Tribolium castaneum: one gene and its partner. The protein of the gene in region 1 interacts with the protein of each later gene in a pairwise test. Links are inferred from orthologs where the notes say so. Each region holds a gene or a part of one and is shown on either strand. Other genes may lie near its edges. The genes, in order: developmentally-regulated GTP-binding protein 2 and RWD domain-containing protein 1.

Region 1 (3,465 bases):
GCCGAGAGGGAGAGAAGAAGGAGGAAGAGGAGGGTAATAATAGTAAATAAACGATTATTGGTGTAGTCATAGTTATTATAACGAAGTGTGCACTTCTTTCAATTCAATAAATCGATTTTCGTGTCAACATTCCACAGTTTGAGTAGAAGCACTTAGAAAACAAAACGAGAATTCAAATGTGTATTTTAGATTAAAGAAATGAGTGTTTCCTAACTAATAACGAAGTTTATGTAACATATCTTATGCTAATTACGGTTTCAAGAGTGTACTCTTTCAATGTATAGTCGGTTTTATTTATTTGAAGGTTGACTGAACTTTAGAATTGCTTTAATTTTTATATGTGAGGCGCAAGGCCAAGTCGGCCGGCTGAATAGGTTGTTCAGTATCTATAACATGTACTTTAAAAGTAAATATAGCTCGAAAAATGCATGGCCCATTTATTTGCCACCTTTGCAATATTACAGTGGAGTTCGGTTAACGAAGTAAAAAATCCAGTCAATAGAATCACCAAATACGGTAGGAAAGGGTGTTTTTTTTAATTAAATATATAAAATTTCGCCACTTAAAAAATGTTCGGAAATAACGGCCAGAAGTGTAAGAAAATCATTTAATAATATGCAGTAACAACGAATCTAATTACTTCTTAACTATTTGGATGACGTCCTCGTCGTGCATGACGTGGGAAGTGCCGACCCTTTGGGGCGAGTATTTGGTGCTCGTGCCCCAGACTAAGGCATACTTGAATTGCTGGGCGAGCGTTCTGTGGATTGCGTGACACACATGCTCCACTGTAACCCCCTTTCTCAGAATCAAGCCGTCGCTGAAATCCGGCGGCTGTCCCGGTTTTTTCGTATAAACGCGAATTAAATTTAAATACTCCCAGAGGACTTGAAGGAGGTAATCTAGGTTGAGCTTCATGTTGCAACTGACGACAACACTGTTCGGCTGTCTGGCTATTCTATCGACTTCCTCGATCGAAATCTGATCGATTTTATTATAAACGTAAAGGCATGGAAGATAGACGCGGTTCGCACAAATCACGTCGATTAACTCATCGGCAGTGCAGTCTTCCCTGAAGAGAACCTCAGCGTTGAAGATTTTGTACTCGTGCAGAATCATTTGCACGAGCTTTTCGTCGATTTTCGTCAAGGGACAAGTGGAATTGAACGAAATACCGCCCCCTTTTTTCACCTGTTAGTGTCAAGAATTAAATTACACAGCGAGACGGGCGCCAGACTTGCCTTGAAATAAATGTTGGGCTTCATTTTGTTCAGCCTAATCCCCACACTTTCCAATTCCTTTTCTAATAAGTGTCGGTGGACGTCCTTTTTCGTGGCGTCCAGCATCATGAGGACCAAGTCGGCCGTGCGTGCCACCGCTATCACCTGCCGCCCCCTGCCCTTGCCCTGGGCAGCCCCCTCGATAATCCCGGGCAAATCGAGCAGCTGGATATTGGCCCCATTGTAGTCGATCACGCCCGGGATGCACGTCAAGGTCGTGAATTCGTACGACGCTGCCTCGCTTTCCGTCTTCGTTAAAGTTGACAACAAAGTGGACTAGAAAAAACATGAAACGACAGGTCAGGGGGTTCCCAAAACTCACTTTTCCGACTGACGGGAAGCCGATCAAGGCCACACGCGCATCCCCACTTTTTAAAACGTCGAAACCTTCACCTTTTTCCGATTTTTTCGAAGGCTCCAAGAGCTGGGAACGGTATTTTGCAAGTTTGGCTTTGAGGAGCCCTAAGTGGTACTCGGTGGCTGAAATAGGCCAATAAAACAACACAAAAGGGGGCGAAGTGTCTCCTGTACCTTTATTTTTTTGCGTGCGAGAGATTTCCTTCTCGATTTCCGAGATTTTTTCCAAAATTCCCATTTTCTGGCACGTTTTATTCCGGTTTGTTTGACATTTGGCACGATTGGCACCACTGTTTGGTGTAAATATAACCTCAAGTTTTGCTATTTATTTTGGGGCTAAAGGGTGTTAAAATGGGGCGCAAAATTCCAGGCCGGAAGCATAGGGGGGTCCGAGACCCCGAGAAACAACGTGCGGAGCGCGAGAAAAGGTACAACGTTGTTCGGTCTGGCATAACCTTACTTTGGCACGTTTCAGTCTTAAGGATAAAATAAACGCGCCCCCGAGTAACCCAGACGAACAGTACGTTCCTAAAAGTCTGCAAAGGATCGCCGAGCTTAAGGCGAAGGTTAAAAGTGGCGATTTTTTGCGCAAAAAGGTGAAAAAACCGCGTCCGAAGCCATTCTTTAAACAAGGTCCGAATGAGTCAGATAAACAGTTTTTGTATCGGGTGCACAAGCACTGTGCGATGGTTAAACACGAGGCGGCTTTTGAGGAAAAATTTGGGGTTGAGGTTCAGAGGAATGCAGAGGGGGAGATAGAAGGGGTTAAAAAACGGGCTAAAGACCCCGTGCAAGTGATGGTTAAAGAAGCAAAACAGGCCAAGAAGAAGAAGAAGGAAGAAGGGCCTAAATTAACAAAGTCGCAAAAAAGGAGATTAAAATTAAACGAAAAGAAGCAGAAGAGAATTAATGATAAAGTTGATGAGTTTGAGAAGTTTCAAGATAGGGTTAAGTTTGGGGAACAAGTGCATGAACCACCTACATTGACTGCGCCCCGGAAGGTTAAAACGGGGGGCGAAGCCCCACGAGTAAGTCACGCTTTCGCATACATTTTAATGAATTTGAAATTAAGTTGGCAACATTGTCACTCATTCCGGAGGGGTGGCCGCGTAACTGTTGCCAACCCAAATTCGAGCCCCAAAAGTTGAATTTTTATTATTTATTTTGCGAAATAAACTAAGTTTTTAACTGAAAAAACGTGCTTTAACCAAATTTCACTCAAAGTCGAACTAAATACCAACAATTTCGAGTTATTTTTTTAATTTTTGAGCGTGCTTTGACAAGTCTACGGAGGACTATAACTTAGGAAACGAATAAATCGCAGATTTCTGTACCCAAAAAAATAGTACGGGTGGGGAAAATGAGGGCGCTTCGAGCGTTATACCGAAAAAAATGCAGAAATGTTGAGTTCTGCATTCTCCACAAACTGACCTCTAAAATTTTGATGAGAAATATGGGAAAAAATTATTAAAATTTGCGCTTCGTCTCGTATTTTTAAAACGCTGCAAACTGTAGACAATTAAATTTTCTTTAAAAAGTCCTCAAGACCATATTTCTATCTTCTGAGTAAACCAGTGTTGCCAATTTAATTTGAAAATAACAAACGTAATTTAAAAAACAAAATTTTAGCCCGGCAAAAAAGACTTGTTGTTGAAGTCTGTTCTAAACAAAACCAGTAATAAAGTGATTGATAAAACGGGAAAAAGGAAAGACTTGCCAAACGCCCTTAGGAGACAACTTGATAAACAACAGAAGGAAGTGATTGAAGCTTACAGGGAATTAAAAGGCAGGAGAAGTGAATTGTAACTATTTTATTAACAAAAATACA
Region 2 (4,529 bases), on another chromosome or scaffold:
AGAAGGACGCCCAAGACAAGATCGACGAGGACGCGAAACATTTGGAAAAATACGCAACGAAGCAAAACCTCCTCGAGCAAAAAATCCAAGAATGCGTGGAAAAAATCAACCAATTGGGGGCACTCCCAGCCCAGGATTTGTACTCCCATTATGTGAAAATGTCGTCACGATCGGTAATAAATAATTCTGTCAAAGTGAAGCCTATTTTATTCACGTAATAACAAAATTTTAGCTTTTCAAAGAATTGGAAAAAACCAACAACCAGCTGAAAAAATTCAGTCACGTGAACAAAAAGGCCCTGGACCAGTTTATGAGTTTCTCCGATCAGAAGGAAAAGTTGCAGAAACGTAAAGAGGAACTAGACCGCGGGTAAACCCACTTGGTGTTTGAATTAACTTCCAATTATACATGTTTTAGTGGCGAAAAAATCAAAGAACTGATCGCAATGTTGGAACAGCGCAAATTAGAGGCCATCCAGTTCACTTTCAAGCAAGTCTCGAAGTACTTTTCGGAAGTTTTCAAAAAACTGGTGCCTGCCGGTAAGGCTAAGCTGGTGCTGAAGACAGTCGATAATGAGGAGGGCAAGGATGTGGGCCCGGAAGACACAAACTCGGACCAGTTCAGTGGGATCGGGATTAAGGTCTCGTTTACGGAATCCGACGCCGAGATGAAGGAAATGAACCAGTTGTCAGGGGGGCAAAAGTCGCTAGTGGCCCTAGGCCTGATCTTCGCCATCCAAAAGTGTGACCCTGCTCCGTTTTACCTATTTGACGAAATTGATCAAGCTTTAGACGCCCAGCATAGGAAAGCTGTGGCGAATATGATCCACGAATTGTCGAGCGAAGCCCAGTTTATCACTACAACGTTCAGGCCCGAATTGTTGGAACATGCCCATAAGTTTTACGGGGTTAAGTTCAGGAATAAAGTGAGTCATGTGGAGTGCGTGACGAGGGAAGTGGCCAGGGATTTCGTCGAAGATGACCAAACACATGGCTAAATAAGTTTCAAAAATTTGTTTTTAACTCAAGTTTTGTATGACTTAGCTATTAATAATAAATGGTAGGATTTACAAAGTCGTGTCCCAGGCATCTAACCACTTCCTCCGGGAGTCTCTACGGAGGGTGTCCCCATCCATGCGCTCAGCCTTTGTCTTGAAACTCTCCGCCAGTTGTAAGCGCTCTTCTGACGGCTCCAAGGTCTTCATGACTCGCAATTCGCCGTTTTCTTTCAGGACAGCCCCCTTGGGGCTGGAGGGGAAGCCGTCCGGGAACGTGACCGGTTTAATCTGCACCAAGTGCTTAACCTTCCATAGTCTCTGGTTGTTTTCGGGGATATTTTTAACAATGACAACGTCGCTCTGTTTCCCCGTTAAGTGAAACTCGGCCAGGATTTTTTTCTCGTAGTGGGGCACCCCTTTGAGCGCTTTGATGCGCTGGACCCGGAACACTTTCGATGGCTCGTACGGGGGGTCCTTAAAGTCGGGGTACCTGACAAGACAATCACCACATAACCTCAATTTCTCCAAACTCACCTGGGGTAGTATTTAAAGCCTGGGTACTGAACCCCTTCTTCGGCCCAATTGTAGCGCCGCGTTCTGGTATAGAAACGCTGAATATTGTGGAAAATGTTGATACTTTTGAGAAAACTGGCCATTCTTGTGTGACAGTTAGTTTAAGGTTAGGTTGTGATTTGTGTGAAGACAGCTCCCCAAACCAGCTCCTCGAAATTCCGAAGAAACCCGAACATGAAGCCAGTTTCACACTAGCAAAATACGTTTCAATTTGCGTAGATGTATGTTTGGTTGTCAGCTTTGAAACCGTTTAATAAAATAAAAATCCGAAAAAACACTAAACACCCTCTTAAAAATGACATTTTAAGAAAGTCACTTTGCTAATAGCGAAAAACTCAATTATTTACCACAAATTGCTTCTTAATTTTTCCCACTTTTTCACCTAATTTCAATATTTATAGCTCCGCAAATGCACTATTGCAGTTTTCGCCCCATTTCACCCCGAAATCGGTTTTGTCACACAATGCCCTTTTGACCACTAATTCAACAATAAAAAAGACGTTTTCTAAAAAGAAAATTATGGCCTTTTAGTTGTCGGAACAATGTTAAAAAAATTTATCTTGTCCAGCTCCGCAAATGCATTATTGCAGTTTTCGCCCCATTATTTATTTCACAGAATTTTTTGATAGTTGATAGCGATCGTCAGAAGTGCAGGGTCGGCTTTGTCCGGGTCTCCTCTGCAACGTATTGATACAAAAAAATCTATCTATCTATCTATTTTAATAATAAACGAGTAAAATTGCAATTATTAAACCCTATCCTTTGTAAATGAAATAAAATGCCTTGAGTTCAAATTCTTTTGTAGTTAGTCTCGATAAAAGTGGGATAAAAGTGATAAAAATGTTATCTGAAAATAGAAATCTCGTGTTATTTATGATAACTGACAGTAAAATTTCTTAGGTAGTAAATTAATTTTATTCTTAATTACAATGTTGAAAAGTGAGCTTTCACTTGCTGTTATTACAATGGTTTAAATATTTTAAATAACTGCCACTGCAACTTCAGTTAATTGATTGGACACAGACAATTAACAACCTATTTCAGTGGGTAATTGTTAAATTAAGTAAAACTATTTACTTGGATGATTGGTGATTTCCTTTTCCAAATTTGTGTGAGTCAGCATTATTTTATTTGAGAATAAGTATGTACTAAAAAATATGAATTCAGTTAAATATTATAAAAACTATTCATCAAAACGTATTGGAATTTGGTATATGCGTTAAATGATTTAAATTCTATCGTCTCAGACGTTTATCAAATTTCTGTCTTCATTTGTTTTGGAAAAACAAGGCTAACATGATTTTTTTTAATGGCAAAAAGGGTCAAATTTAATATTAAAAAAAGCCTTTTAACACTTATAATTATCGAACTAATAAAATTTTGTTAGCTTTCGAAATGTTGTCTTTGCCACCTGAACTGTTACCAAAAATAAGTAAAATAATTGTTAAAATAACTCCATAATATCCATACTTATTATTATCATCGATTCTGTTATATTTAGGTACTTTGAATTTAATTAGAGAATAATATACTTGTATGTAATTATAGATATTATCAAGTTATTATCTAACCAAGTTTCAGTGAATGTGTGTAGAACAAAAGAATTATCTAGATTTATCTACAGGCTGCTCAAAAACTGGCGCACCAACGCAGTGGTACGTTGTTGAGAAGCACGTGTAGATCACGGGAAAAATGTTAAAAAAATTCCTAAAGTCATATTTTAAAAAATCTTGAGCTACAAACTTATTGTGTTAACTTCTTTAGTTATCATTATTTTTTTATATTTCTATGTTTCATACCAGGTAATCGTTCCGTAACAAAACGATGAATAATTATTTTTAAATTTACTATCAGATTTTAGCAGTTTTTTTAATTAAAAAAAATTAAAATTCATCCAAAAAATCACAATGTGTAGATGTGCCAACACTGGGAATTATTTCCTAGTAAACCGTTTCAAAAATAATTTATTTTTATTGTTGATCAAATTCTATTGCGATCATGACTGTTAGACAACGTTGCCACATATCATTTACCTAAAATTAGTTATTTATCAATAACTTTAATTCAAAGAATTTTTTTACTATTTTTACCTTTATATGTAACCAGTTCTCTACCACACACCAATGAGTTGGTGCGCCAGTTTTTGAGCACGCTGTATACTGACTGTTTAAATTTAAAGATCTACCTTTTTAATGAAAATAGCAACAGCGGATTTGCATTTTTTTTATTGAAATAGGGCACAAAAGTAGACTTTATAGTTATAGTTATAACTAATGGACCCAGAAACCCAGAAATTAAGAAAAATTTTTTTGCTTAAGATTATTAGAAACCGTTTACAAATTTCATTATGTAAGTAATTTAGTTTTGATAAAAAGAACGTTGTTTGCGCTTTGCAATGATCTGAGACACTTTTATTTTTGTATATATATATATCTAAGGGCCATTAAGTTAATTTGCAACTAACAAATTAGCAAATTTGATTTGATTTGCGTTGTTAACTTTTAACAACGAATTAAATTTTAACAAACCATTTTATAAACGGGCCCCAAACGTTATATTCACACTAACAAGAAGTAATAAATAATAATTAACACGAAAGTATTTGAATGGCATTAGTCGGACCATTAATTCAAAAATATGTACGATATTGAGAAATTTTTTATTCAGTAATTTGTTAAAATCGGGTAATTAATTATGAAGTCGCAATTTATGGCACTTTTTACACATTTCTAAAAAAATTATTGATGAAACTAATTTTTATCGAGGATTAATTTTTTATTCGTTTTCACTTTTGTTAGCTCTTTTGTCACAACTAATAATAATAGACAAAAGTCTTGTATCACTCAAGGATGAAATATCACGGGATTAAACTATTGAAGCTGGATTTTTAACCACTAAACAAATATTTGAAGACGTAATAATGGATTAAAAGAGAATTAGGACAAATTCAATTCGATTT

The links.
Region 2: the proteins of developmentally-regulated GTP-binding protein 2 (region 1) and RWD domain-containing protein 1 interact in binary tests that used the Homo sapiens proteins (3 or more experiments, as listed by UniProt). The link is inferred for Tribolium castaneum from reciprocal best matches to the Homo sapiens genes DRG2 and RWDD1.

The regions. Positions count from the first base shown.
Region 1 is NC_087399.1:1,997,334-2,000,798, reverse strand, and holds developmentally-regulated GTP-binding protein 2, read right to left. Parts: upstream 1,928-3,465; 5' UTR 1,876-1,927; coding exon 1,812-1,875; intron 1,761-1,811; coding exon 1,603-1,760; intron 1,557-1,602; coding exon 1,242-1,556; intron 1,192-1,241; coding exon 637-1,191; 3' UTR 594-636; downstream 1-593. Other genes in the region: lysosomal-associated transmembrane protein 4B, read left to right, coding at 1-50; coiled-coil domain-containing protein 137, read left to right, coding at 1,989-2,065, 2,113-2,665, 3,267-3,443. UniProt on the Homo sapiens protein: Catalyzes the conversion of GTP to GDP through hydrolysis of the gamma-phosphate bond in GTP. When hydroxylated at C-3 of 'Lys-21' by JMJD7, may bind to RNA and play a role in translation.
Region 2 is NC_087400.1:602,530-607,058, reverse strand, and holds the start of RWD domain-containing protein 1, read left to right. Parts: upstream 1-1,653; 5' UTR 1,654-1,681; intron 1,682-4,529. Other genes in the region: SMC3 (structural maintenance of chromosomes protein 3), read left to right, coding at 1-173, 233-369, 418-997; large ribosomal subunit protein uL30m, read right to left, coding at 1,067-1,487, 1,532-1,653. UniProt on the Homo sapiens protein: Protects DRG2 from proteolytic degradation.